Callithrix jacchus: one gene and its partners. The main gene of each other region encodes a partner of the protein of the gene in region 2 in a complex. Links are inferred from orthologs where the notes say so. Each region holds a gene or a part of one and is shown on either strand. Other genes may lie near its edges. The genes, in order: GEMIN2, SNRPD3, CWC15, GEMIN4, SF3B2, GPKOW and RBM48.

Region 1 (4,013 bases), on a different chromosome or scaffold from region 2:
CAATTTAATAAGAGAAATCTGGAAAGGCTTATACTTGGAGTTTCTTTTTTTTTGAGACAGAGTTTCACTCTTGTTACCCAGGCTGGAGTGCAATGGCACGATCTCGGCTCACCGCACCCTCCACCTCCTGGGTTCAGGCAATTCTCCTGCCTCAGCCTCCTGAGTAGCTGGGATTACAGGCACGCACCACCATGCCCAGCTAATTTTTTATATTTTTAGTAGAGGCGGGGTTTCACCATGTTGACCAGGATGGTCTCAATCTCTTGACCTCGTGATCCACCCGCCTCGGCCTCCCAAAGTGCTGGGATTACATGCTTGAGCCACCGCGCCCGGCCCTATACTTGGAGTTTCTATGAAATCTAAATGACGTTAGCCCAGAGGATATGATCTAGTCCTACCTGCCTTTCTAGAATATCAAACAGAAACAAAAAGAGAGACATACCGTTTCAATCAATCCATCCATCTATCAAATTAGGTATATAAGACATTCTGTTCCATTAAATGTCTATCAACTAATGAGCCGAGACCGTGCCACTGTACTTCAGCCTGGGTGACAGAGCAAGACTCTGTCTCAAAAAAATAAATCAATCAACTAAAAAATCCTGAAGAGGAATTACAGGAAACATTATAGTGTCTGAATTAAAATTTTCTGATTATAAATATCAGATAGAGAAATTACTTTCAACATGAAAAGGAAATTACTATCAACAATTTAAAATGCCACCTCCTTTAAGCTTAGGTTAAATAGCACCTCCTTAGAGAGACCTTCGCTGGCCAGGCGTGGTGGCTCACGCCTGTAATCCCAACACGTTAGGAGGCTGAAGCAGGCAGATCACTTGAGGTCAGGAGTTCAAGACCAGCCTGGCCAACATGGTAAAACCCCATCTCCACTAAAAATACAAAAATTAGCTAGGTGTGGTAGCACACACCTGTAATCCCAGCTACTCAGGAGGCTGAGGCAGGAGACTCTCTTGAACCCGGGAGGTGGAGGTTGCAGTGAGCCAAGATCACACCACTGCATTCCAGCCTGGGCGAAAAAGCAAGACTCAAAAAAAAAGGGGGGGGGGAGGGAAGAAAGACCTTCTGTGATTCCTCTATCTACAGTAGTTCTGTCATTTATTGATTATTACATATGCTTATTTTCTTCATAGCAATAGTCACAACATGTAATTATTTGTTTGCCTGTTTACTCTCTGTCTACAAGGGTAGGATCCTTTTTTATCTTATCCTCTGTTACATTCCCAGTGCCTGGCACAACGTAGTCCCTTAATTAAAAATGTGCTGGATAAATAAATAAACGAAAATGTCCACAGTGTGCAAGTAGCTGTAAAAGTGTAAGATATCTGAGTTTCTATTTTGACAAAAAGTGGAACTTTATCAAATTCAGAACACACAAAGCACAATAGGATTAAACACCAATCTAGTAACTGGAAAAAGATTCCTTAGGAAAAAAAAAAAAGGAGGGCCCAGTGCGGTGGCTCACGCCTGTAATCCCAGCACTTTGTGAGGCCGAGGTGGGCAGATCACCTGAGTTCAGGAGTTCCAGCCTAGCCAACATGGTGAAACTCCATCTCTACTAAAAATACAAAAATTAGCCAGGCGTAGTGGCAGGCACCTGTAATCCCAGTTACTTGGGAAGCTGAGGCAAGAGGATAGCTTGAACCTGGGAGGAGGAGTTTGCAGTAAGCCGAGATCCTGCTGCTGCACTCCAGCCTGGGTGACAGAGCAAGACTCTGTCTCAAAAAATAAATAAATAAAGGGGTCAGGCACAGTGGCTGAAGCCTGTAATCCTAACACTTTGGGAGGCAGAAGCGGGAAGACAGCCTGAGGCCAGGAGTTCCAGACCAGCTGGCAACAGAGACTCCCTCTCTATAAACAAACAAGAAAAAATAGAAGATAGCCTAAGTAACCCATTTAAAGACTCCTTTGAAAGGATTGGATAGTGTCCCTGAAGAAAGATGGGCAAGCTCCACAAATGCTAGAGTTACAGAAAACCTCTTCAGAGGCTGTAAATGCCAGTTGCCTTTCTGGAGGAAAAAGTACAAGCGAATGTCTATCTTTGAAGGGAGTAGTCAAATCTTACTTACACCATAATTGATACTGTCGGATACTATAGGAAGAGCCTTAGTCTTTTAATTGAGGGGTTGGGGGTAATCTCCAGACGGTTAATAACTCACAGAAATATTCACACTTTGCTTCCTTTTCAACTTCTTTGGGTCAATTTGAGCTACCACAACATCTGGACACTGAGCTGCTTCGATCCTACAAATAAGTAATAAATGCAAGAAATTAAATTTCTATTGTGCTTTGCTCAGGTGTAGTAAAACGAGCGATCCATTTCCATAGTTGATTGTGAAATTAAAAAAAAAAATTCAGACTTCCACTTGACGTACTAAAGAATATATTTCTGAAATTATCTGGATTGAAAACAAATCTAAGATCACACATCTTGGTACATTCAATCATGTTAAACAGAAACTCGCCCACGTAAGAATGTAATCCAGAATCCTGAACAGACCCGAACTCGCAAGAGACTGGAACGGGAAGAAACAGGACTTTATAGAACGCAGGTCGAGAGGGGCACCAGGGGCTGTACCCCGGGGCAGGGCAGACGACCAGCCCACCCGCCCAGGGCCAAATCACTCACTGGACCCGCCTCAGGTATTCCTGAGGCGTCCTCGGGGGTACCGAGGGATCGAAAGCTTCCGTCAAGTCGCAGGGCTCTACCGGTAATAGCCGAGGCATCAACTCTTCCACAGCGGACTCGGCTGGTACCCACGCCATGGTTTTCAAACCAGCCAGCTCCACTCAGCGCATGCGCCCACTCTAGGTCACGGCGCAGGCGCACAAGTAGGAACCTTGGGCGCGGAGCTGAGCAATGGCAGTTTAGGGAGCGTTAACTGCGCATGAACAGACTGCTGCTTGCCTCAAGGTTAAGGCTCCGGTGGTGTAATAAAGGATCTGAGAATTTAATTCCTAGCTGAATTGGTTCGAACGCGTTTCTGGTCTTTTACTCCCTGTTTTGTCTTCTCACGCTGGGCAAAGGCCGAGGGTTAGCAACTTTTATGCATCCTTAGTAGTGAAGGATCCTTAAAAATGGTTTTTGAATTAATGAACAGTATTACTGTAATTATCATTCTTGGAGCTCTAAATTCTTAACCCCGACATAAACACACACATTTTCTCACTTGATTCTTAAAACAATCTTGTAAAGTGGGGAGTAATACTCTGTTAGGGGAGGGACTGAGCTTCTCCCAAAGGGGAAGACACCAATTCCAACATACGCTTATCCGATGCCAAATGAAAGAAAAATTAATTTTCTACAGGAATATCTAGTGCTTGACCACTTCAAAGATCACTGTATGTTTATTTGGAATGAGTATTACTCCTAGAATAGCCAGCACTTTTTATTTTTTTTGAAGAAAAATATCTTCGTTTAAATACAAATAGTGAAAAATATGAAGCTAATGCTAACATACAGAAATTAACAAAAATGTTAGGTCAATCTTGTTAGGTAGATAGTATCATCTCCATTTCACAGGTGAGGAAACAGGGCAAGAATGTGCAAGAAACAAGTATTATATCTGATTATTTCTAAACAAATACAATTGAGTGAATACAATTGACTTTTCTAAAATTTATATTTCTTTTCGAAGGTTTTTAAAAAAATTTGTTTATATTTTAGCACTGTTTTTAGGTTGCAAGGAATCGATTTCAAACAAGGATGTAAGTTTAAGTTGAAGATAAAAAAATTAAACAGGATAGTCCTTAGCTTTTTTTAAAAATTATATATATATATATTTTATTGCACTTTAGGTTCTGGGGTACACGTGCAGAACATGCAGGATTGTTGCACAGGTACATACAAGGCAATGTGGTTTGCTGCCTCCATCCCCCATCACCTATATCTGGCATTTCTCCCATGTTATCCCTCCCAACTCCTTCCCCTCCCCTGTCCCTCCCTTATTCCCCCCCAACAGACCCCAGTGTGTGATGCACCCCTCCCTGTGTCT
Region 2 (4,120 bases):
ATGGCCCCAGCCCAGAGCGGGCTACAGCTTCCGCTTCGGCTGGGGCGGGAGGGCGGCCGGTGCGTCTCCAGTTCCTCCGCCGCCACCGCCGCCGATGCGGTGGGGAGAACTGGAGGCGGCGGCTGGGCCTCCCCAAGGCCCGCCCCGGCCCTTCTAGTTCGCGAATCTAAAGGCCCCGCCCCTTCCATAAGCCCCGCCCCAAACTTTGATTCTAGACGCCCCCAGTCTCTCGATTTAAGCCCGCCCCGGCCATTTGCCGCTTCTGCGTCGGGTGGCCCCGCCCCGTCGCCCAATCCTCGCGTAGACGCGCTGCCCACCAGGACACGGGCCCCGGAAGCCCCACCCCTTTCCTTGAGGCCCGCCCCGAAGCTCGTGCACTTAGTGCAGATGCTTCCTAGAGGTTCGTCTCTTCAGCAAACTCCGCCTCTGCCGTGACCCGCTCCTTTGCAGCCTTAGGTGTAAGCACCGGTCCCGCCCAATGCATTGCCGAAGCGCCAAACAACTCTCTTTTTATTTTTTTATTTTTATTTTATTTTATTTTTTGAGACGGAGTTTCGCTCTTGTTACCCAGGCTGGAGTGCAATGGCGCGATCTCGGCTCACCGCAACCTCCGCCTCCTGGGTTCATGCAATTCTCCTGCCTCAGCCTCCCGAGAACCTGGGATTACAGGCACACACCACCATGCCCAGCTAATTTTTTGTATTTTTAATAGAGACGGGGTTTCACCATGGTGACCAGGATGGTCTCGATCTCTTGACCTCGTGATCCACCCGCCTCGGCCTCCCAAAGTGCTGAGATTATAGGCATGAGCCACCGCGCCCGGCCACAACTCTCTTTCAACTGCCTTTAGGGATGATCCTGAGCCGGCCGCCGCCCTACTCTATACCTAATTTTATCCGTACGAGATACCTCGCCCCGCTCAGGGCGCCCCTTACCTAGCGGTGCCGGGATCAAAAAATTAAATTGTGAGGGGGAAGTCCTGGCCCTTGGCCCAACCTCCTGCTGCCCCGGGTCTGACGGCCCAGGCCCCGGGTCTGACGGCCCAGGCCCCGGGTTTCCGCCTTGCAGTCCAGCCTGTCCTTGGTGTGGGGTGCTTGGAAGTGCGAGCACCCTCTGCGGCTCGTTGCCGGCCCAAGGGTCGTTGTTTCCGGCGGCCCTCGGGCCCAGTTATCAGCCGTCTCTTCTGGTGCCGGAACTATCGTAGCGGTGCCCTAGTTTCCCAGCCGGCGGGCGCAGCGAAGAGGAAGCGGAGACGAGACCGCACTTACCAATGGGGAAAGGAAGGAGGTGGGCCCTGCGCGCTGCATTTTGGGAACGATTGGAATTCTGGGAGCTGGGCCCGCCATTCGCTGAACTCACGCCTTAGCCGTAGACTCATTTGCCGCCGCACCGAAGAGGAGAAGGAGGCCGGAGCTGGTGAGGCTGGGGACGGGCAAGGGGGGGTCGAGGGGCCACTCGCTGCATGGAACTCTGCGGGGCTCGGGGAGGGAAGAAAGCGGGAAGCTTGGGCCACCCAGACATCAGCGAGCATCGCCTCACTAGCGCCTAGAAGTAAGTTCATTAGCTTCAGCGTGCATGCTTTCACTTTTTGTATCTCTCCAGGTCAGTGTTTTTCAGAGCTTCCAGGCAGTAATCTTGAAGTCATTTCTGGTTGACTGTCTCCTTTCCCCAAATCCTGTGAGTGCTTTTTTCTGTTTATTTTTTCTTTTTGTTTTGGAGTAGTGATGGGTTTCACCATGTCGCCCTTACTAGTCTTGAACTCCTGGGCTCAAGGGATCTACCGGCCTCGGCCTTCCAAAGTGGTGGGATTATAGGTGTGAGCCACCGCGCCCGGCCGATCATTCTTTTAAAAGTTACTTGCATCTCTGCCTCCAGCCCCCTTTCAGGTAGTGGTCCCCTCATGGTTTCCACACTGTTGCAGAAGTTTTAACAAGTTTCTCTGCTTCTAAACCTTACATTCTATCCATTTTATAAATAAATGCTGCCACTTTTTTTTTTTATTCAAAAAAAATTTTTTTTCTTTTAAAGACGGGTTTTCACCATATTGGTCAGGCTGGTCTTGAACTCCTGACCTCAGGTGATCCGCCCGCCTCAGCCTCCCAAAGTGCTAGGATTACAGGTGTGAGCCACTGCGCCCGGCAGTGCTGCTGCTTTTTTCATTACGTCATTCTTTACTTAAAATCGTGCAGTGGTTCCCCACTATTTTCAGTATAAAATGTAGACTCCTAAAGCTGAAAGCAAGGGATCCTCACCAAAGGAACCTGTTTCTTCAACCTCACGTTCTCCTCTGTTAAGTGCACTTACGTTCCAACTTTGAGTCGTTGCTTATCTCAATAAAAAGTTCACTGCTTGATTCTTTTTTTTTTTTAAAGACGGGCTTTCACCATGTTGGTCAGGCTGGTCTTGAACTCCCGACCTCAGGTGATCCGCTCGCCTTGGCCTCCAAAGTGCTGGGATTACAGGCTTGAGCTACCACGCCTGGCTGCTTGATTCTTTTAATTAGGTCAAATCAGGTGATTTCCCTGATTTTCCTCCATGACAAGCATTTCCTGAATAGAGCATATTGTCACTTTGATATTTCCTCATCTTTGATGGTAAAGTAAGTGAGGGGTTAAAGGGCTGAATTAAAAGTGCAGCCCCCTCTCCTAGGTGTTCATGGGTCCTTTGGTCTGTATCTGCACCTTCCATAGGGGAGCCACTAGCTACATATGGCCATTGAGCACTTGGAATATGGCCACTGGGATTGAGACTGGGTTTTTTATTTTAATTTTATTTTGTTTTAAGTAAGTTTAATTTAAATAGCTACATGTGGACATGAGCTGTATTGGACAGCTCAGGCCTATATAATTTTCAAAATGTAATCATGTACAATTACGGTTGACAATAACAATGCAACAAATAACATTCTAACCCCCACTCCGCAACACGAACAGTATTCGCTAATGGTCATTTAGATGAAGATTAAGGGACATAGGGTAGTAGGGACATGTGGTTGATGGGAGAGGCTCTCTTTTCATTTCTATTTTTATCTCTGTCCAGCCCACCATTCCTTCTCACCCCACATCTTGCACATATTTGCCAGATAGTTTCCTCCAAGCCAGGAGCTGAGTTGTTTTTGTTTTGTTTTATTTTATTTTGTTTTTGTTTTTGTAGAAAATGTAGCTTTGGGCCGGGCGCAATGCTCACGCCTGTAATCCCAACACTTGGGAGACCAAGATGGGTGGATCACGAGATCAGGAGATTGAGACCATCCTGGCTAACACGGTGAAACCCCATACTAAAAAAGTAGCCTGACTTGGTGGGGCAGGAGAATCTCTTGAACCCTTGAGGCAGAGGTTGTGGTAAGCCTAGATTGTGCCACTGCACTCCAGCCTTGGCAACAGAGAGAGACTCTGGCTCAAAAAAAAAAAAAAATTCAGTTTTGGCATTTTTGCTAAGTTTTATGGAGGGCTAGGCCTTGAAGGAAGCACAGTATGTGCTGCATGCCTTCTCAGTCTCTGAATGATGAACTGACTGTTGCCTCTCTCATTAGAACTCTTCCTGCCAAGATGTCTATTGGTGTGCCGATTAAAGTACTGCATGAGGCCGAGGGACACATTGTGACATGCGAAACGAACACCGGCGAGGTATATCGTGGGAAGCTCATTGAGGCAGAGGACAACATGAACTGCCAGGTATCCTGCTTTGCACATGAGGCTATGTGGGAGGAATGGACCTGTGTCTCAGAGGAACGGAAAGGTGTGGGTTGGGGGTCTTTGAAAAAAAATTGTTCTCATTCAGCAATGATTTTCTTTTGTTTGTTTGTTTTTTATTATTTTTATTTTTCTTATTATTTTGTTGTTGTTATTTTTCAGCAATGATTTTCTGAGTGCCTAATGCATGCCAGGCACTGTTGTTACAGGCTCTGGGAATGTGGGCATGAACAAGGCACAGTCTTGAGGCAGGAAAGCCATTGGAGGTTTGGAATATTTTACTTTGTCCTTTTTGTTTTTTCCATCCCCAGAGTTGGGGGCCTATTTGAGGGAAGTGCTACTTCAGTAGAATTCTTCAGATTCAGAGCCATTATCCATTTGCCTTCACTTGCCTTGTGGTTAGCAGAATCTTCTCCCATACTGTATTT
Region 3 (4,011 bases), on a different chromosome or scaffold from region 2:
GCAGTAGAATAGAATTTGTTAAGTTTTTAAAGTAGAGTTGTTAAGACCTGTAAATGAACTGTATGTGAAGAGTGAAGGTAAAAAAATTTAAATAGGCACTCTGGGATTTTGGTTTGAGTAACTAATATGATGACCTTTACTGAGATGTTTAACACTGGAGGAGGGATATCTTTGGTAAGAAAAATCAAGATTTTCATCTTGAACTTTACGAGTGAAAAGGCTTTTTCTGCTTTTTTTTTTTCCCCTTCATTTAAAAGTTGCAAAGAATTTAGGGATAAGAAAGCATTTAAATTTTCAATTTTGTGAGCTCCTTACATTTTAAACTAAGTTGGGGACGTTGAATTTCCATTTAACAAGTATTTATTGAGTAACTACTATACGTCAAGGTCTACGTGATGATATACCAAGATGAACTAAGCATTCAAGACCTCTGTTCTCAGATTGACTTATTTTTTTATGGAAGGGAGGTGAGACGATTGGTGGGTTTTTTGGTTTTTGGGTTTTCTCCTTTTCGTTGTCTTATTAAAACTTAACACTTGAGTAGCCATCTTAATAACTACACTGTGCTTCTGGCAGTTGGGCCCACCGTTCTAAACGCTGTCGTAAATACTGACATCTCCCCTCCCACAAGAACTAACGTTTTTTAAATAAAAAAATTTTAGCAAACATTACGCATACAACCTTTGCTTTGAAGTGTAATATTTTTGCAGGAATGGTACCTTTATAAAGATCGTGGTTGCCCCGTACTTATTTGTTCTTTCTTCATATCCAATTAAATGAAAACACTAGTTTTTCCGAAGCCCAACTCTCTAGGCTTGTTGGTTCTAGCTCAGGATGGAAGCAGGAGTCGTTGGATTTAAACAGTTTGGTGTAATCCTTTTCCACGCTCTAACCCGCTAGCCGGGGACGTGGTGTCGGCTACCCGGGGCTTTCCGTCCACGCAGTACCGGAATGGAGTCTGGGAGGGGGTCGGGGACGGAAAAGACGGAAGAGACATTAAGTAATTGGTTCTTGAAGGTATAAAATGATGTTTAGGGTCTACTCTAAGGCACTGATTTCAAACGCCCGCCCCCTGGGCCGTTTAGGCCCCGCCCCTTATTGCCCTTACGCCAACTTCCACTTTGGCCTCTGCGGATTGGTTGTTATCTCCGCCTCAGAAGCGCTTGGGTTTTGCTTCCGGGTCATAGGCCTAGCCCTGAACGCAGAGGTTCCTGGGAGCCAAGCGTAGTAATGGCGTCTGTATGATATTCGGAGCCTGCTGCATCGGACCTCGGCCAATGTGAGTGACAGGAGGATAACAGATTATCTTCTTTATCCCGGTAGGACGGGAAAGGGCAGTTGGGATTGGAGTTGGTGGCAGAGTGCTGAGCGCGGGCGGCGGAGGCCCTGAAGCAGCTCGCTAGGGGCGGAACCGAGTGCCTGTCAGGCGCGTCCGGAGCTCTAGGCCTGCGGTTAAGATCGCAGCGTAAAGGCAGCTCGCCTACCGCTTAAAGCGAGCCTCAGGTCCACCCTTCACTACTCCTCGCATCCCTGTAGTGCTAGGCACGGGTGAAGAGGTAGCGAGTTTCTGGTTATAGCCAAAGACTAGCTCTCCGGAGGCCAGAGTGATAATTCTGTTGGCGTGTGGGAAGGCGCGGTGCCCCCAGAGCCAGATAATCCTGTTTCTTCTTTGAAGACATGCCTCTACCCTTTTCGGAAATCAAGAGAAATAGACCCCTGCCAAAAAAAAAAAAAACGAAAAAACAAATCCTCCCAATTCACCCACCCTCCCACACACTTTTCCGACACTTACAGCGTCTTAGTAACTAAATCTGTTAGACAGTATTCTTGTGATTGCGCCAAGCAGAAAATAAAGAATGTGTCCCTGGTTTTTGGTATTAGAATCCTCTGGGGCGAGGTTCTTGTTTTTTTGAACAGTCCTTAAATTATAACCCACAAGAGATCTGAGTTATAATATGATGCCTGTTGTAGAAGAAAATTGGATCAACAAAAGGTTGTTTAAGAATTTTTTTTCTATGTAACTGTCATTGAAGTTTAACACTTTTGCCTAGGGCACTTAATAACTTCGTCAGTGATTTTTTAAAAATTGTTTTTGGCTTTTGTTTCTGTTAGTCTATTTGCTATTGTGTGAAATTTAGATAAAATACAAACCTTAGAGAGTTTGGTGGAGTAAGGTTGAGCTGAGAATTTTTAAAACTCAGTCATGGCAGTACGGTATTTTATAAGGGTTTTGACATGTCAAGTGTCGTAATTCTTACAATAATCCTAGGAGGAATATCTCCATTCCGCTGATGACAGAAAGTTAAGCTAGGTGACTTCGTGAAGCCCACAGAGTCAGAAGAATAGGGATGCAAACTCAGATCTTCGTGACAGAATTTTTTGTACTAAGACATGTCTGGGAATCCATATTCCTTGTACTGCCTAAGCCTCATAATTTTTTTTCTTGAAAACTTTTGTTTAAGAAGATTAAGCAAGTTTTGGGGAATGAGTTTTAGAACTTATATCACCAGGATGGATATTGATTAATACTCTAAAATGAGAGTTCGTAATGTTGGAAATAACTTGATACTATTTTTCTTCAAAGCATAAAAGATGACAACTGCAGCCAGGCCAACCTTTGAACCTGCAAGGGGTGGAAGAGGAAAAGGAGAAGGTGATTTGAGCCAACTTTCAAAGCAGTATTCAAGCAGAGACCTACCTTCTCATACAAAGATAAAATACAGGTAATAAGACTTTTTTGTTGTCGTTCGCAAAACAAGACCAAATCTGTTAAATGACATGGTCATGATATAGTAGTATGTTTGAGTTATGTTACTTATTTATTTTCATAGACATAGAGTGCAACAGGATGTTTAACACTAAAATTTTGCTCTATGATTTTAAAATGCAAAATTCCTACTAACCAGGAATTTTCATATGTAGATAGAGCAATAAATAATATAAATAATAATGCCTCAGAGAGACTATGCACAATCAGCACCAGTCAATATATTAAAAATGTTACTGTTCTGAGTTGATATAATACTAATTACAGATATTTTAATCTGTGTAAAGCCGGCTGGGCGCAGTGGCTCACGCCTGTAATCCCAGCACTTTGGGAGGCCGAGGCGGGTGGATCACGAGGTCAAGAGATCGAGACCATCCTGGTCAACATGGTGAAACCCCGTCTATACTAAAAATACAAAAAATTAGCTGGGCATGGTGGTGTGTGCCTGTAATCCCAGCTACTCAGGAGGCTGAGGCAGGAGAATTGCCTGAACCCAGGAGGTGGAGGTTGCGGTGAGCCGAGATCGCGCCATTGCACTCCAGCCTGGGTAACAAGAGCGAAACTCCATCTCAAAAAAAAAAGAAAATCTGTATAAAGCCTTATCATGGGAAAATACTGAATTTGGATTTCTCGAAATATTGGGAACATCACAGGAGTGGCTGTTAGTAACCCTCAGATTAGCTTATGGTCTTGTCTATTTCCCTTTTTTATGCTTGAAGGACAAAGTCTCATTCTTGAATTGTCTTCCATTACTACAGTTGTGTGTGTGTGTAAGTAACATTTTTGCCCTGGCTCGTTTTTACTTTAGACAAACTACTCAGGATGCCCCTGAAGAGGTTCGTAACCGTGACTTCAGGAGAGAGTTGGAAGAAAGAGAGAGAGCTGCTGCAAGAGAGAAAAATAGGGATCGTCCAACCCGAGGTACCAACACTATCCCAGACATTTGTCTCATAAAATTATCTTTTTGATAGTTTTTCTTTCATGTAGCAACTGGAAAATGTTAACCATTTGTTTGCTTTTACACTTGATGTGAGTTATAATATTTAAGTCATTAGAGATGATAATAACAAATATTTACCAAAAGCATATTTGCCAGGCACTGTGGATATGATTTCTGTTGTCATAAATGCTTTTAATGTGGGCTCTTTGTACCCACAGGTCCCTAAAACATTGTAAGAAATGCAGTATTTGTTTTACTAAGTTAAATGATTTTTGTTTCCCCCAGAACATACAACCTCCTCTTC
Region 4 (4,136 bases), on a different chromosome or scaffold from region 2:
ATTTTGGCTATCAAGGCACAGATGTTCTCCAGCAGTGGAAATGCCCCATGCAAGTTGAAGAGAAAAGCCAGCTGGGAAATGTGATTCTGGATTTTGGCTATCGAGGAGATGTCCTTCAGCAGTTGCAATGCCGGGTGGAAGTTCAGGGGGTAAGTCAGCTGGGAAATGTGACTCTGAGAGGCATGTGCCCAGAAGGGGATCACCGGAACCAAGAGAGAATGAGATCCCTCAGGAAAAGTAAAAAGAACAAGCTGGGCTGCTGAGGGCAAACCCTTCAGCAAAGGATGGGCCAGAGGAGGATGTGGGGAGAGAGGTTCAGAAATAGCACGAGGACAGTACAAACGACAGAGCTATTGAGCATGTACCACAGGACATGACAGCTGAGTTTCTCATGACAGATGAAGGGGGAAGAGTGATAATCACACAGCCACAGGGTAATGAGGACAGCCACAATCATGCAGCCACAGAGTAACAGCACAGCAGCAATCACACAGCCACAGGGTAATGGGCACAGCTGCAATCACACATTCACAGGGTAATGGGCACAGCCACAGAGTGACGGCACAACAGCAATCACAGCCACAGGGTAATGGGCATAGCAGCCATCACACAGACACAGGGTAACGGCACAGCAGCCATCACACAGCCATAGCGTAATGAGCACTGAAGCAATCACATGGCCACAGGTAATGGGCACAGAAGCAATCAGACAAGCCCTGCCTTCGCCCTTCATAACCTTGCCTTGGGAGCAGGCTTCAAACATTGTTCTACCTTTCAGGGAAACAGTCCACCCCACAGCTCCTTCCAAAGACAAGCTACTCATGGCCCAGGCTCTGTGGGAGAAACCAGGGAGTAGATACAGAAAATACTTCATTAAATTAAGTCCTTCCTGCAGAGAAGGAATAACTGACAGACTTACATCTTGGGATGTTTAATCAAACATAGGTTTGATTCCTAGATCAGCCATTTAAAAGTAATGTGATTCTGGCCAGGGGTGCAGTGGCTAGCACTTCTAATCCCAGCTACTTGGGGGGCTGAGGCAGGTGGATCCCTGAGGTCAGGAGTTCAAAACTAGCTAAGGTAACATAGTGAGACCCCCCCAGACCCCTAAAAAAAGGGGGGTGGGTAAGGGATGTGATCATGGTCAGATTGCTTCTCCAAGCCTTCCTTCTGCAGCTTTGGGGATAATACAGACTTCTTGTTACGACTCTGAGGATTATATGATGCATACCAGTCAAGCCCCTGGTAGTGGGTTAGTACTGCTATCTCCTGACCCCATCTCCTGGAGACGCTGTGATGGATAAATGTGATACAGCTACACTAAGAATCAGGTTACAGAGCCTGATCAGGGCTCAGTCAATGTTGGTTTCCCCAAACCTTCTCATCATTGGCAGGATCAAAACCCTGTCACTGTTCTTTGCCTGCCCCAGCTCAGAAACATCAAAGGACATAGGTTTTTATCAGGTATGTTTCCTTTGGCCCAGGAAGTAAAACGAGGGTACAAGCATTGCTCACTTTTCCTCACTTCTGAGTCCTCTCCTTTTCCCAGGATCGGGACAATGCTCACCATTCCTCACTCCCTAGTCTTCTCCCTTTCCCAGGATAGACACTGCTCACTATTCCCCACTCCTGAGTCCTCTCCCTTTTCTAGGACCAAGAGATGCTTCTTCCTCAGTCTCTCATGCCCCTGAGAGCTCAGTCTCCATTTTACAGGCCAGACATCAGCAGAGATAACACGGATTCCAGGAGACTAAGGACTGTCTTGCCCTTGCCACCATGTGTGGGAGCAGCCACAGGCCCAGCGCTCAGCACTCCCATGTAACCCATTTGCGGAGAAAATCCACCTCAGCTCACAGTGGCTGAGGCCGAGGCTGCAGAGGGATCTCGCTAGGGTTACCGTCAGGAGGCTCGCCCAAACCCCAAAATGCGGCCCCCCCTAGCGCTGCAAATTTAATTTTACTGCGTTATCAGCTTCTTTGGGCCAATGTCTGGCCATCCACGCGCGCCTTCCAAACGCAGGCAGTCCGCCGCATTTGCAGCAGTAGCGCCAGGGCAGTGACGGCTGGAAAACCCGCCGGCGCTCGGTCAGGAACGGCGCCCAGCGCGCGCCAGAGCCAAGAGCTAGGGCTACCGGGTGGTTCCGCGCTCACCGCGCCAGCCCCGCGCCGGGTCACATGCGAGACCTCACGCATCACGACCACCTTGACAACGCCGTTCCCGCTCAAGGCCCGAACACGAAGCTGCAGAAACGCTTTTCTCAGGGTGCCCGGACGCCATTCCGCTCCCGAGAGCTGGTGCCGAAGCGCCGCGGCCCCAGCTCTCCGGACGCCCGCCCACCTGCTCCGTGTTCCGGGCCTGGCCCCGACCACTCCGGTTCCGAGGCGCGCAGCCGCCCCGGCAACTCTGCGCGGGACCTGGACGCCCGCGGCCTCCGTGGAGAGTCGCGCAGCCCTCGGGGGCAGACGCACCGTCCCCCTCCCGCTCCGCCGAGACGAAGCCGGACGACAGGAGACACGCGCCTTTCAGGAGCGCGGCAGTCCGGGCGCTGAAGGAGCCGCGCTTCCATAGCACGTGCGCCGGCCCAGAGGGTTCCACCCTCACTCCGCGGCGCGACTCCCGAGGCCGGGCCCGGGTCCCCAGCCAAAGCCACCCGGAACCCCAGACCCGCCCCGACGCGGAGGACGTTCCGCCTGGGCCCATCAGTGCGCGCAGCGGGAGGAGACGCGCCAGGGAGCACCGCCCTGCTGACGCGTGGAGGGACGCAGCCCGGGCAGGGAGCGCGGCACCCACCTAGGTCCATGGTAGCGACGCGGGCGGTTGCGCGGGGTTGGCTCTCCCTCTCAGAGAACGCGGGCGCGGCGACGAACGCACGGCACAATGGGCGGCGCAGGCGCCACGGCGGCCGTGCTCAGTCCCCGCCCATAGCCCCCCGCGCAAGCGCAGTCCTCACGGAGGAGCGCGCAGAGCCACAGCACCGCCTCCTCGCAGAGGCCTCCCGTCCGTCAGGTATCGGGCGTTGCTCCCGGGCCTGCCTCCGGGTCCCAGTGCGTCCGGCTTGAGCCCCGGCTCCGCATTCACCCTCATCCGGTGACCCCGGGCGCGTCCCGCACACTGTCCGCCCCCACCCAGCGCGGCCTCCCCACGCGCGGCTTCCTCCCGCCCAGCTCGTCCTACGCTCGCACTCTGTGCGCGCCGCTGCCGCGCCGCCCCCTTGGGACGGCCGCGTTTGGGACCGGAGGCGCTTCTCACGTCTGCTCCTCCACAGAAACATCGTGGACAGACCCAGACACTGGCTCCCGGGCCTGCAGTCGCGGAGAAGAAAATACAGACTCTGCGTGTTCTTCCACGCGCCGCCCGTCCCCTGCCCCCGAGTTGGAGGTCTGACGCCGGCCTTTTTACCTCCCCACCTCCGGCCTCCAGCACCCGGATCGCCCGGAAAGGCCCGGCCGCCTCCCGCCCCATGTGCCAAGTGGAGTTCGAGCTGGCGCGCACCGCCCTCAAGCAGCTGAAGGGCCCCCTGAGCGACCAGGACAAGCTGCTGCTCTACGGCTGGTACAAGCAGGCCACCCGGGGCGACTGCCACCTCCCCGCGCCTCCCGCCTCTGACCTGAAAGCCAAGGCCAAGTGGGAGGCGTGGACTGCGAACCAAGGGCTGTCCAGGATGGACGCCATGAGGGCCTACGTGGCCAAAGTGGAGGAGCTGACCAGGAAGGAGGCTGGCTGAGGGCTCCTCGGAATGGAGTGGCTCCCTAGACCTTGATGGCTGAAATGGAGAGTAACCGGGTTAGCTGAAACACCAATAAATCACTGACACTGCACGAGAGTGACTGACTGCTGTGGAAAAAGAAACTCGTTGACTGGGTGCTGGGGAGGCGTCCAAATACACAGACCGCAAAAACGGTGTGGCTTTGGGTGGCGTTCCCAGCCTTCCTATTGCTAGAGCGTACTGGGAGGGATGGTGTGCCGTGGAAATGCCCACGATCTGAGGTCAGCGAGACCCTTCTCCACTGATGGCCTCTGGGGAGGCTGAGGCCCAGCCCCTTACCTCTTCAAGAGTGATTAATGAACACCCAACACTACAGAGGGGAAAGGGACTCTGTCCTAAACACCGAAACCCCCACTGGAACACAGGGCCT
Region 5 (3,500 bases), on a different chromosome or scaffold from region 2:
TCAATCTCGACATCAGCTGCTGGGGAGTCAGAGCCACGGGACCGGGTTGAGTCTTTCTCTCGGTCCCCAGAGCTCTCAGAGGACACCCCTCGTACCCGCTGGGGCTTTTTCTTCTTCTTTCGGTTCCTTCGCTTCCGGTTTTTCTGTCAAGAGGAGGAAAACCAGCTGGGTCAGAGAATCCAAACAGGGTGGCAGCACCCCAACCCACGAACTCCTTCCCCAGTGTCCCCCACAGTTCAATGCTCAGGCTTTTTCCAAGGAGGCCATCTCATGAAGTGGTTGTGAAGAGGCCTTGGAGTCAGACTCCAAAGTTCTGCCATTCACAGGCTGTGTACCTTTGGGTAGATTACTGTGCCTCTCAGAACCTCAGTTCTTTCAGCTCTAAAATGTAGGCAAGCATAGTACTTGGAAGTCAAAGCAATTCAATAAAAAATATCTATAAGATGCTTAGGTGGAAATTGGCACAAAATAGAAGCTATTACTTACTGAACACTTACAAATTGTGCTATTTTCGTACCCAAGTCCCATCTCCTGCCTTTCTTTCCAGACTCAGCTCCAACCCTACCTCCTTTTTAGATATGGACACTGTGTCCTCCTCAGTCTCTGATGCTGACTGGCCCAGGGACGAGCGAGCATCTGTTTCCATTTCCTCTTCCTCTGTAAGGAAGAAGGTGGTGATGAGTCTTCACGGTACCAGTGCCCTGCACGCATCACAGTCACCCACCTTTACCAAGAGCCTGACTCTCTAAATTCTCCTTAGGGAAGGGACACAGGAATGAGGACTCAGCCTCGGCCTCTCCAGGTTCTGTGGCTGCAGCCTCAGGACACCCGGCACGCACCCTGCTGAGAGTTCATCTCTTCCTGGCGGCTCTCCTTCAGCTGCAGGATCTTCTCCAAAGCCTGGGGGATCTTGGGCCCTACAGAGGGGTCATCCATCTGCCAGAGACAACCAGTCAGAGGAGATGAATCACAGCACCCTTTTTCTAACTACTTCTACCTTTTGGACTAGAAAGGCTGCTGGCCAGGTGATGTAAGCAGCAGAGTGAGCAACACCAACTGGGCTCAGTGAGGTTCAGAGGGACCCCAAGACTCTGCCTCAGTAATGTCTCCCCAATCCCTCTGCCATACCCTAAGTATAGTTTAAATAAGCAGCACTCCCCACTACCCCCAGGAATTTAAGTCCCCAACTTCTCACAGAACCCTTCTCTAAAAATAGTCCCCTTCTAAACTACCACTCTCCTGTCCCTATGAAGAAATCATTAGTCTCACCTCTCTGTTTTCATCTCCAGGGGGTGGTGGGGGACCACGAGGCCGGGGAACAGGGGCTCCCATGGGCAAAACTGTAGGAGTGGGGCCCACTGGGCCCACTGGAGCGGTTACTGAGAGAAGGGAGAAAGAAATTAAATGTCAGAAGAGACGAAACACATAAAAAAACCACCTTTCTTGCTAAAAAGGTGATGGTTACCCTGCAGTGGAGGAGGGCACGGCAGAGTGGGGGGTAGGTTCTGGGGTTCTGGTAATGTTTTGGATCTTGGTCCAGGTGCTGGTTGTATGGGTGTGCTCTGTTTGTAAAAAGTCATTACACTGTATATTTACTCTATATGCACTTTTTAAATGTGACAGATACTTTAAAAGTCTTTTTTTTTTTGAGACGGAGTTTTGCTCTTGTTACCCAGTCTAGAGTGCAATGGCGCGATCTCAGCTCACCGCGACCTCCACCTCCTGGGTTCAGGCAATTCTCCTTCCTCAGCCTCCTGAGTAGCTGGGATTACGGGCACACACCACCGTGCCCAGCTAATTTTTTTTTTTGCATTTTTAGTAGAGACAGGGTTTCACCATGTTGACCAGGATGGTCTTGATCTCTTGACCTCGTGATCCACCCGCCTCGGCCTCCCAAAGTGCTGGGATTACAGGCTTGAGCCACCACGCCCGGCCACTTTAAAAGTCTTTAAAAATTTTTTGAAAACACCTTCCTTGCCCTTCCCCTCCATTCCAGGGTCTCACCTCGAGGACCCAGAGGAGTGCGCACGCCAATTTGGCCCATGTCTTGTGGGGGCCGAGGGACTGGGGTGCCCATCTTGGCAATCTCCTGCTGTCGTTCCTGCTCCAGTAACACAGCTGCCTGTGGGAGGGAAGTGGGAGTGGAGAGACAGCCTGAAAATGTGTTTGGCAGGCAGCCCCTGGCAAATGCGTTCTTTCAGCCGGGTAATGGGCCGAAGGAGAACAATCACGAACCACTTGGGTGCTGACATCCCCTCACCCTGACACTTCCAAGCTACTAATCCAAATGGAGGAGCCCCTAATCACAACGGAAATCCCTAGAAATAACACCAAGGAAAACCCCAGGAAACTTCTGGTTCCTAACAGAAAATTTCATATTCAGCCAAACACTGCTTTCTACTTTTCAGAGAGTTTTCTTCCCCAAAATATTAAATTATACAGAAGAAACTTTTGAATTCTTTTCTTGTATCTACCCCTCAAGATCCAGCACAATCTGGGCAAAGACAGCAGTTCATCCACAGGTCCAGACTTGTTGCCTTTTTTTTTTTTTTTTTTTTTTGAGACAGGGTCAGACAGTGGCATGATCTCAGCTCACTGCAACCTCTGCCTCCCAGGCTCAAGCCATCCTCCCACCTCAACCTCCCAAGTAGCTGGGACTACAGGTGTGTGCCACCACATCTGGCTAACTTCTGTATTTCTGATACAGACAGAGTTTCATCATGTTTGCCAGGCTGGTCTCAAACTCCTGAGCTCAAACAATCCACCCCCCTCAGCCTCCCAAAGTGCTGGGATTCCAGGTGTGAGCCACTGCACCCAGCTCATACTTATTGCTTTTAACACTTACTTTTTAATATTCCTGAGTAATCCACTGGGTAACGACTAATGCAATACAACTCTGGGGCCAAACATCTTATATAACATTCCCAGACTTATAGTCATATTTTGTCTAAATCCAATACAAATAATTCAATTGCCCAGTGTCTTATCTAGAATGATCTCATGTAAGGCAAGCAGAGATCAGCACATGCTTTGTGTAACAGGTCAGAAGGTAAATACTTTAGGCTTTATGGGCTGCTGTATGGACTCTGCTACATATTTTTGATTTGCATTTTCTTAAAACTCCTAAAAAAATTTACAAGTTATTTTTAGCTCACAGGCCATACAAACGCAGGCCCAGGTCACAGTTTGTTCAATTCCTGAACTTTAAGAAAAATTGAATACTTTGGAAGACACTGGAACTTAGTTGGAGAAAAAACAGCCTCCAGGGAAAACTTGAATGGTACACCCTAAGCACTATAAATGGCCACCAACAAACTGGACCATGAGGTCAAAGGGGAGGAGTATTACCCGCTTCTGCTGTTCCAAGAGCTCATGTTCCTTCAGCGAATGATCTCCCTGCTTAAAAAAGAAAACAAGCTCATACCAGCACCAATATTCCACAGGCCAATCTCTCACAGCTCTTGCTTCTTGAGATCCTCTTCCAGTCAAGGACCCATGTT
Region 6 (4,048 bases), on a different chromosome or scaffold from region 2:
AAATAGTATGCTGATGGTTGCCAAGGGCTGGAGGAGTAGAGCTAAAGGTTTGGAGCGGGTGCTGTGGCCATGCCTGCAGTCCCAGCTACTCGGCAGTCTGAGGCAGGAGGATTGCTTGAGTCCAGGAGTTCTGGGCTGTAGTGTGCTATGCAGATTGGGTGTACACACTAATTTGGCATCAATATGGTGACCTTCAGAGCCAGGGACCACCAGATTGCCTAAGGAGGGAGTGAATCTACCCGGGTTGGAAACATAGCAGGTCAAAACTCCTGTGCTGATCAGTAGTGGGATCACGACTGTGAATAGCCAGTGCACTCCAGCCTGGGCAACATAGCAAGATTCCATCTCTCTCAAAAAAGGCTATAGGGGTTTGTTTACTAATTTATTCATTCTCTTTAATTTTTTTTTTATTTTTGAGACAGAGTCTCACTCTGTTGCCCAGGCTGCAGTGCAGTGCATCTTGGCTCACTGCAACCCTGCCTCCCAGGTTCAAGTGATTTTCCTGCCTCAGCCTCCCGAGTAGCTGGGACTACAGGCACCTGCCACCATGCCTGGCTAAATTTTGTATTTCTAGTAGAGACGGGGGTTTCGCTATTTTGGCCAGGCTGGTCTCGAACTCCTGATCTCATGATCTGCCTGACTTGGCCTCCCAAAGTGCTGGGATTATAGGCATGAGCCTTCACTCCCTGCCCATTCACTCACTTATTGAGACAAGGTCTTGCTCTGTCGCCTAGCCTGGAATGAATTGTTGAGATCAGGGCTCACTGTAACACCCACCTCTCCTGTTCAAGTGATCCTTCTGCCTCAACCCCTGAAGTAGCTAGACTACAGGTATTGGCCATCATGTCAAGCTACTTATTTTATTTTTAGGAGAGACAGGGTCTCACTATGTTTCCCAGGCTGGTTTGGAACTCTTGGGTCAAGTGATCCTCCTGCTTCGGCCTCCCAAAGTGTTGGGATTACAGGCATGAGCCACTGCAACTGGCATGGGGTGTCTTTTAGGGGGACAAAAATGTTCTGAATTTATGGCCAGGGGTGGTGGCTCACACCTGTAATCCTAGCACTTTGGGAAGCTGAGGTGGGTGGATCATGAGGTCAGGAGTTTGAGACCAGCCTGACCAACCTGATGAAACACTGTCTCTACTAAAAATACAAATATTAGCCTGGTGTGGTGGCAGGTGCCTGTAGTCCCAGCTACTCAGGAGGCCGAGGCAGGAGAATCACTTGAACCTGGGAGATGAAGGTTGCAGTGAACAGAAATTGCGCCACTGCACTCCAGCCTGGGTGACAGAGTGAGACTCTGTCTCATAAAAAAAAAAGTTCAGGGGGTATATGTGCAGTTTTCTTATATAGATAAACGTGTGTGATGGGGGTTTGTTTACAGATTATTTCATGCCCCAGGTATTAAGTCTGGTAACCATTAGTTATTTTTCCTGATCCTCTCCCTCCTCCCACCCTCCACCCTCCAATAGGCCCCAGTGTGTATTGTTCTCCTCATGTGTTCATGTGTTCTCATCATTTAGCTCCCACTTATACTGAGAACATGCGGTATTTGGTTTTCTGTTCCTGCCTCAGTTTGCAAAAGATAATGATCTCCAGCTTCACCTATGTCTCTGCAAAGGACATGATCCCATTCTTTTGTATGGCTGCAGCTAAGCTTTTCACAAAGAACTTAACGTACTGAAGGTGAGGAAGTTGGTAGTAACAGTCAGACTTGAACCCAGGCTGCCTAGCACCAGAGTTTGGAGTCTTACCCAATTCTCCATATTGGCTCAGGGCTTGCGCTGTGTTTTCAGCCTAGCTCTGTCCACTGCCCTTCTTCACCTTCTGTTCTTCCCCATATCCTTGCAAGCCTCCCGCCCCCAAGGTTCATTAAGGCAGTCTCCAGAGCCACTTACTGTTCACAGCTCCCAAAAACTACCAAAGGTTTTTCACGCCTGGCTGTATTTGCCATGATAGAACCTCTGCATGGAAGGCAAGGGGGTCTGTGGGACAGGCGACTATTCATGAAATTATTGTCCTTATAGCCCAGAAAGATAAAGGCTAGGGAATGGAAGAGGCGGAGAAAGTGGTTAGGGACTCTCAATAGAAACTGTCTCAGCCCCGCCCCTTACGTTCACTTTCTAGCCGCAGCTCCTGGAACCTGGAGCCACGCCCAAACTGTCTTCGCACTCTCCTCTCAACTAGTCCCCAAAGCTCCATCTCCTTAAATAATCCTGGGCCCGACCATTTCAATACCTCCAAGACCTTACCTTCCTATCTCCCTCTACTAACGCACAGAAAACATTTCTCAAATAACACCTTCAGGATTATCTTCAAATATGGTCACACACACATGCAAACTCCATTCGGTCCTCCCTGGAGGGTGCTACTCCAAAATTTGGCTCCTGAACCCTCCAGAGCAAACCATTTAATTAGCCTCTAACCCTCATCCCATTCTTGACATCGCAAGCCCCGCCCCCATGGGCCTATAGGCTCCATCCCCTGACTCACATTTCAGGCCTGCCCCTTCGCTGCAAGCTCGCCCCCAGCACTTTCCAGACCCCGCCTCCTCGGAAAGGAATTCTCGAAGCCCCACTGGCCAGAACAGGGATCCAGCCCCGCACTCTCAACTAATCTGGTCCCCGCCTACTGCGATAACCCTCAATGAATATTCTAGGATAACCCCGAGGCTCCACCCACTCTAAGCACTTTCCGAGCCCCGCCCTCCCAAATCGTACCTCTTGGCACCACCCAACGCAGGGCAGTAGCCGCTGATTCCACGGGCCTACCCTTCTGAAACCAGCTCCTCTCCTAACTCGTCCCACGGGAGGCCCTGCCCCTGTCACGTTCCCTCCTTGGGGCGCAGGCGCAATGTAGCGCCCTGCTCTGCGTAGCACCGCCGCCCGCGCCGCCAGGGGGCGCGCGTCCAGCCACGCCAAGAGCTGCCCGGCGCTGTGGCTCGCGGCCTGCGCAGGAGAGGGGAACAGGTCAAAGCCGACCCTCGGCCTCGGCCAACCCCCACTCTTCCGGACGCCCGAAGATCTAGAAATGACCCTCAGGACACTGGGCGACCCCTAGCCACTCCCTCGATAGTTCCGGAGTCGCCGCTGTCCCTCCCCCTCACCCATCCCCGACCAACGCGGGTAGCCGGTGCACTCCCGCTTGCCCTCACGGTGTCCCTGGAGATCGCTGTTAGACTGCAATAGTCCTGGACACCTCTGAACATCCCGTGAGGTCCTCGACTGCCCCCTAATCACCCTGGACGCCCAACTCTTCGTCCATGACATCTCCTGGGAACGTTTCCCCCAGATATCCTGGGAGAACCCGGCCTGACCCTGTAGCCCTGGGACCCCCAATTCCCACTCTAGGTATCCTAGGCAACCCCTGCTATCCCCATGAATTCCCTCAGGAGGCCCGTTCCCCCCATGACCCATGTACCTCCAGATTCCCCCTCCACAGGTCCCCAGGGACCCCCAGCTCCCCTACTCCCAGTTCACTACAGACCCTGAGTGCCCAGGTGTCCCCAGTGACCACGGACAGACTCCTCCCCGCACATCTGCACATCTCCCTGGAGACTCCTGAGAGCCCCTCTCCGGTTCTGTTGTGCAGGCGTTTCGCTCCGGTGTGGGTGTGGGTAGGGGACCTCAAGCCCAGCCTCTATCGCTGGGCCCCTGCCCCCTGTCACCGCCACTTGGGCGCCAGAGCAGCTCTGTTTACCACCTGTCAGAAGGAAAAAATGTGGAGCGGACAGGCGGGAAGAGGGTGGCAGCGACTCGACCTGTCCTTCCCCAACACCCTCGATCCCTGTACCTCCTCTGCTCCCCCTAGGGTCCGTGGTGCACCCTGTGCGAGGACCCATGGCCAGTAGTGGGCCGGGTGGACGCAGGGCAGCCAGCAAGGAATTTTGAGTGCTGGGGCGTGTTCACCTGGCAACCCGCTTAGACCCTGGAGGCTGAGGCTGGCGGGTCTTGTGCCTGGTTCCTGGATCTGCAGGGTGGCGGAAAGGAGGTCAGCAAGGAAGCCTGGCTCCGTTAGCTGAGGACGCTGGGCTGGCTCCTTTTTCCAT
Region 7 (4,010 bases), on a different chromosome or scaffold from region 2:
TTTAAACCTCTTGGATTTGTTCCCTAGTCTTTAAGCAACTAAGGACCCAGCTGGTTGGCCTGAGGTATGTAAACTCTGGTCATAAAATAGAGCTTTTCTGTGGCCCTGAAGAGTTAGTTCATATCCAATTAAGCTTTTTCAGCACAATGTATTTCTGTAATGGGATTTATGCCTTAAAAATCAGATGAAAAATACTATAATCATAATACCTTCAATAACTGAGGAAATACTAAATATATAACAATGAGAAAATAAAAATGTTATTCAGTCAATACTTACTAAACATCTATGATATGCCAAGTACTACAATAAATAAATTTAACTACTCCTATATCCAGGGATAATATTAATACTTGTTGAGATTTTATCATATGCCAAGCAATGTCATAAGTGCTTCCCTTGAATTAATACCTCACAACTGTATAATGAAAGTGAAGCACTAGGACATTATATAACTTAGCCATGCTCATACTCTCGTTTGAGGAGCAAGGATTCAAATAAGGCATTGCATACTTCAGCTTTTTTTGAGCAGAGGGCTTATATCAGATAGAAGGCTGGAAAAAACTGAGTCAATTCGCAGAAAGGAGTGACAATAGCTAATGCTTACTGTATTCTGACCAGGAGGGACTATGCTAAACCCTTTATATGGATCATCTCATTTCATCAGCATACTACCTCAAGAAGGTCCCTTTAGCATATAGATTTTATGGAAGAGGAAAAACAGGTTTAACCTGGTTAAATAACTTGTCCAAGGTCATGAAGCTAGTAAGCAGTTGGACTGGAAAACTTACTCCAAGCCCAACTTTTTGTTTTATTTTTTTGAGACAGTGTCTCACTCTGTCCCCCAGGCTAAAGTGTAGTGGCCCATAAACAACTCACTGCAACCTATGCCTCCTGGGCTCAACTGATTCTCCCACCTCAACCTCCCAAGTAGCTGGGACTACAGGCATGCTCAGCTTGATTTTTGTATTTTTCGTAGAGGCAGCGTTTCACCATGTTGGCCAGTCTGGTCTTGAACTGGGCTCAAGCAATCTGTCCACCTTGGTCTTCCAAAGTGCTGGGATCAAATTCAACTTTTTTTTTTTTTTTTTGAGACAGTCTCACTCTTGCCCAGACTGGAGTGCAGTGGTGTGATCTCAGGTCACCACAACCTCCACTTCCTGGTTTCAAGTGATCCTTGTGCCTCAATCTTCCCAGTAGCACAGGCTTGTGCAACCACACTTGGCTAATTTTGTATTTAGTAGAGTCAGGGTTTCACCATGTTGCTCAGGCTGGGCTTGAACTCCTGACCTCAGGTGATCCCCCTATCTCGACCTCCCAAAGTGCTGGGATTATAGGTGTGAGCCATGTGCCTGGCCTCAAACCCATCTTTTTTTTTTTTTTTTTTTTTTGAGAGCCTCGCTTTATAACATAAAAATAGATAAGGCATTGCATACTTCAGCCTTTTTGGACTCTAAGCTGGAGTCCTGTGGCATGATCTTGGCTCACTGCAATCCTCCACCTCCCAGGTTCAAGTGATTCCCATGCCTCAGCCACCTGAGTAGCTGGGACTACAGGTCCCAACCACCACGCCCAGCTAATTTTTGTACTTTTAGTAGAGCTGGGGTTTCTGTCATGTTGGCCAGGTTGGTCTTGAACTGTCGACATCAAGTGATCTGCCTGCCTCAGTCTCCCAAAGTGGTGGGATTACAGGCGAGAGCCACCGTGTCCTAACTTCAAACCCAACTTTTAATCTACCACACCACAGGACATTAAATTGTTAAGCATGGGAATGATGTGATGGGAACAGTGCTTCAAGTAAAGTATACCTTTAAAAAGGCTAGAGGAAAATAAGTGGAATATAGGCTAGATTACATTGAATGAGGTATGAATGAGGGAAACTTGGGCCCAAAATGATAGAAATATGAATGGAGAAAATGAGTCACTGCTTAACTTGCACATTACCTTGCACTTTGTAAGTTCACAAATTTAATAAGATAAACTTCAGTAAAGTCTTCTGCCGGGTATTCATCTAGAGCATTATACTGTTCAATTGGACCATATAAAGCGAATCGCTCAACTAATTCTTTCATGGCTCCCACAGCAGGAACTCCTTGTATTAGTAAGTACTGAGATTCCAAATTGATTGTATATACCTGAAAGAAATGCAGAGTCGTTAAATGTATCTCGCAAATAAACCTAGGACGAATCTGCCTCTATTTTTTTTTAAACAGCGCTTTCAAAACAAGAAATAATCTGTTCAACCCAAACACAAAATAAAATGTCTCTCATTCCCTCTGCATAAAGAGTAACAGCCCATGTGAGAGGGTACCTAACAAAGGCATATAACAGACTACCTTCAGTCGACATTTTTTTCCAGAAATTGAGTCGGTAGAATTCACCGGGAACAATCACTCAACGAGTATTCACTGAGCGCTTACCTTGTGCCAAGTAGTACTGTAAATACAGAAGATCCAATGACTAAAACCAAGCCTTACTCTCGTGGAGGTGCTGTTCTAATAGTTGACCAAAAGGATCGTGAGAATCTTTGATAACTGACCCAAGCAAGGTTCTTCACGCTAGCTCTAAAGAGAGAGGGATCTGACAGCAGCCTTGTCCTGCCCTTATTTCTGTAGACTGGCTATATGGCGCTAGCACTCATATAAAGCTACCGAAGAGAGCGAATGAAACCAAAATCACTTTACCTTGACAGCACGAGGCCGTCGTCCCTCCCGATATTTGGCCCGCGTGTCGCATACCGCCCGCTGGACGTGGTGGTCAAATACATTCCCTAACTCCCCACCGCTCGACGCCATCTTGCCTGCTTTGATCCTCGCAGGGAGGACAACATCCGCCCTGCTGAGCTCCCTTTTCCCCAATAAGAGAGCGAGATGAGTCAAGGAGTCCCACGATTGGCTGGAGAATCGACAGCGTCGGCCATCGTTTCCTGCGTGAGAGGATTTGATGAACGAGTTGCCGCCCCCGCGAGCGGCACCGCGGAGAGGCGCGGTGAGTGGCAGAAGCTCGCTTGTTCCACCTAATACAGGCTTGCGACGAGAGGCGCAGCGGTCAGAGGGGGCGGGGCCGATCTATCTCCTCCGGCTCCGACGCCCTTGGCCTGCCAGGTCCCGGGTCCGCTGCGGCGCTGGGGTGGGGCGAACCCGGAGCGACGCGTAAGGACGATGTGGGGCAGCGATCTCCTGGCGGATGCTGGGCGAGGCGGGACGGCAGTGACTGTGGTCTTCACCAACGCTCGCGACTGCTTCCTCCACCTGCCGCGGCGTCTCGTGGCCCAGCTGCACCTGCTGCAGGTAACGTGCCGGCTCCGGCCACCTGCTGTTCAGCCTGGGGTCGGACTAGGCCGAAACCTCTCTGGGAGGCGGCGGGATGCCTGCTGCCTTTCGGGCGCCGCCGAAGCGCGCAGAGGTCAGACGAAGGGTCCCTCGAGGACAGGGCCCCTCTGAGTAGTCTTTGCGTCCCACAAGTCCTGGGCAGCCCTGGGCTTGTCTTATCCCAGGTCTTTTCACTTGGTGAAACTGAGCCTAGAAACATTCTAACATTCTACCATTGTTTTTAGAAATATTCCTTATTCCAGGTTGGAATATCTCCTGAGAAGTCGTTTGTTTTTGTTATTTTAAAAGGTGTTTTTCTTGCCAGTCATTTCCAGTTACCTGCGCTGCTGCCGTCCCGGCCGCGAGAGGGAGGCGGAGAATTGTTGGCTGAGCCCGGGTAGATTCCCGGGGACTGACCACCGCGTCCCATAAGCGGGAAAGATTAATACAATGATGGTTTTGCGCGGCGTCGCTGACCCTCGGAACACAGCTGTGGTGTGTTAGGAACACGTAACGTAGTTAGGATCACTTGAAGCTCTGAGATCAGTCGCCTTTCTGGACGTTGTGGTAGGGAAGTTTCACAGTTGTAACCACTGGTGGAGATACAGCGTCCCTACTTTCATAATTAAAAATAGAGGCACATGGTCTCAAGAATTTGAGTGTGCTTATGGGGGCAAAAGGATAGCGTATTTGAAGTTC

What was found.
Region 1: SNRPD3 (region 2) and GEMIN2 share a complex: the UniProt entries of both Homo sapiens proteins name them as parts of the SMN-Sm complex. The link is inferred for Callithrix jacchus from reciprocal best matches to the Homo sapiens genes SNRPD3 and GEMIN2.
Region 3: SNRPD3 (region 2) and CWC15 share a complex: the UniProt entries of both Homo sapiens proteins name them as parts of the minor spliceosome. The link is inferred for Callithrix jacchus from reciprocal best matches to the Homo sapiens genes SNRPD3 and CWC15.
Region 4: SNRPD3 (region 2) and GEMIN4 share a complex: the UniProt entries of both Homo sapiens proteins name them as parts of the SMN-Sm complex. The link is inferred for Callithrix jacchus from reciprocal best matches to the Homo sapiens genes SNRPD3 and GEMIN4.
Region 5: SNRPD3 (region 2) and SF3B2 share a complex: the UniProt entries of both Homo sapiens proteins name them as parts of the minor spliceosome. The link is inferred for Callithrix jacchus from reciprocal best matches to the Homo sapiens genes SNRPD3 and SF3B2.
Region 6: SNRPD3 (region 2) and GPKOW share a complex: the UniProt entries of both Homo sapiens proteins name them as parts of the minor spliceosome. The link is inferred for Callithrix jacchus from reciprocal best matches to the Homo sapiens genes SNRPD3 and GPKOW.
Region 7: SNRPD3 (region 2) and RBM48 share a complex: the UniProt entries of both Homo sapiens proteins name them as parts of the minor spliceosome. The link is inferred for Callithrix jacchus from reciprocal best matches to the Homo sapiens genes SNRPD3 and RBM48.

Annotation. Positions count from the first base shown.
Region 1 is NC_133509.1:73,778,970-73,782,982, reverse strand, and holds the start of GEMIN2 (gem-associated protein 2), read right to left. Parts: upstream 2,801-4,013; 5' UTR 2,785-2,800; coding exon 2,648-2,784; intron 2,263-2,647; coding exon 2,178-2,262; intron 1-2,177. UniProt on the Homo sapiens protein: The SMN complex catalyzes the assembly of small nuclear ribonucleoproteins (snRNPs), the building blocks of the spliceosome, and thereby plays an important role in the splicing of cellular pre-mRNAs.
Region 2 is NC_133502.1:195,106,386-195,110,505, forward strand, and holds the start of SNRPD3 (small nuclear ribonucleoprotein Sm D3), read left to right. Parts: upstream 1-1,320; 5' UTR 1,321-1,416; intron 1,417-1,602; exon of another isoform or gene 1,603-1,677; intron 1,678-3,532; 5' UTR 3,533-3,548; coding exon 3,549-3,674; intron 3,675-4,120. Other genes in the region: protein GUCD1, read right to left, coding at 1-188. UniProt on the Homo sapiens protein: Plays a role in pre-mRNA splicing as a core component of the spliceosomal U1, U2, U4 and U5 small nuclear ribonucleoproteins (snRNPs), the building blocks of the spliceosome.
Region 3 is NC_133511.1:45,351,626-45,355,636, forward strand, and holds the start of CWC15 (spliceosome-associated protein CWC15 homolog), read left to right. Parts: upstream 1-1,211; 5' UTR 1,212-1,319; intron 1,320-2,584; 5' UTR 2,585-2,592; coding exon 2,593-2,723; intron 2,724-3,575; coding exon 3,576-3,688; intron 3,689-3,992; coding exon 3,993-4,011. UniProt on the Homo sapiens protein: Involved in pre-mRNA splicing as component of the spliceosome. Component of the PRP19-CDC5L complex that forms an integral part of the spliceosome and is required for activating pre-mRNA splicing.
Region 4 is NC_133506.1:63,630,192-63,634,327, reverse strand, and holds the start of GEMIN4 (gem-associated protein 4), read right to left. Parts: upstream 2,801-4,136; coding exon 2,338-2,800; exon of another isoform or gene 875-2,337; coding exon of another isoform or gene 742-874; exon of another isoform or gene 1-741. Other genes in the region: uncharacterized protein LOC118153659, read left to right, coding at 2,799-3,006, 3,266-3,384; diazepam-binding inhibitor-like 5, read left to right, coding at 3,461-3,724. UniProt on the Homo sapiens protein: The SMN complex catalyzes the assembly of small nuclear ribonucleoproteins (snRNPs), the building blocks of the spliceosome, and thereby plays an important role in the splicing of cellular pre-mRNAs.
Region 5 is NC_133511.1:123,131,227-123,134,726, reverse strand, and holds part of SF3B2 (splicing factor 3B subunit 2), read right to left. Parts: intron 3,400-3,500; coding exon 3,349-3,399; intron 2,123-3,348; coding exon 2,005-2,122; intron 1,380-2,004; coding exon 1,270-1,379; intron 937-1,269; coding exon 840-936; intron 658-839; coding exon 566-657; intron 144-565; coding exon 1-143. UniProt on the Homo sapiens protein: Component of the 17S U2 SnRNP complex of the spliceosome, a large ribonucleoprotein complex that removes introns from transcribed pre-mRNAs.
Region 6 is NC_133524.1:49,690,242-49,694,289, forward strand, and holds the start of GPKOW (G-patch domain and KOW motifs-containing protein), read right to left. Parts: upstream 2,801-4,048; 5' UTR 2,721-2,800; exon of another isoform or gene 2,494-2,720; intron 1-2,493. UniProt on the Homo sapiens protein: RNA-binding protein involved in pre-mRNA splicing. As a component of the minor spliceosome, involved in the splicing of U12-type introns in pre-mRNAs.
Region 7 is NC_133512.1:57,090,155-57,094,164, forward strand, and holds the start of RBM48 (RNA-binding protein 48), read right to left. Parts: upstream 2,801-4,010; 5' UTR 2,796-2,800; coding exon 2,685-2,795; intron 2,136-2,684; coding exon 1,945-2,135; intron 1-1,944. Other genes in the region: peroxisomal ATPase PEX1, read left to right, coding at 3,162-3,290. UniProt on the Homo sapiens protein: As a component of the minor spliceosome, involved in the splicing of U12-type introns in pre-mRNAs.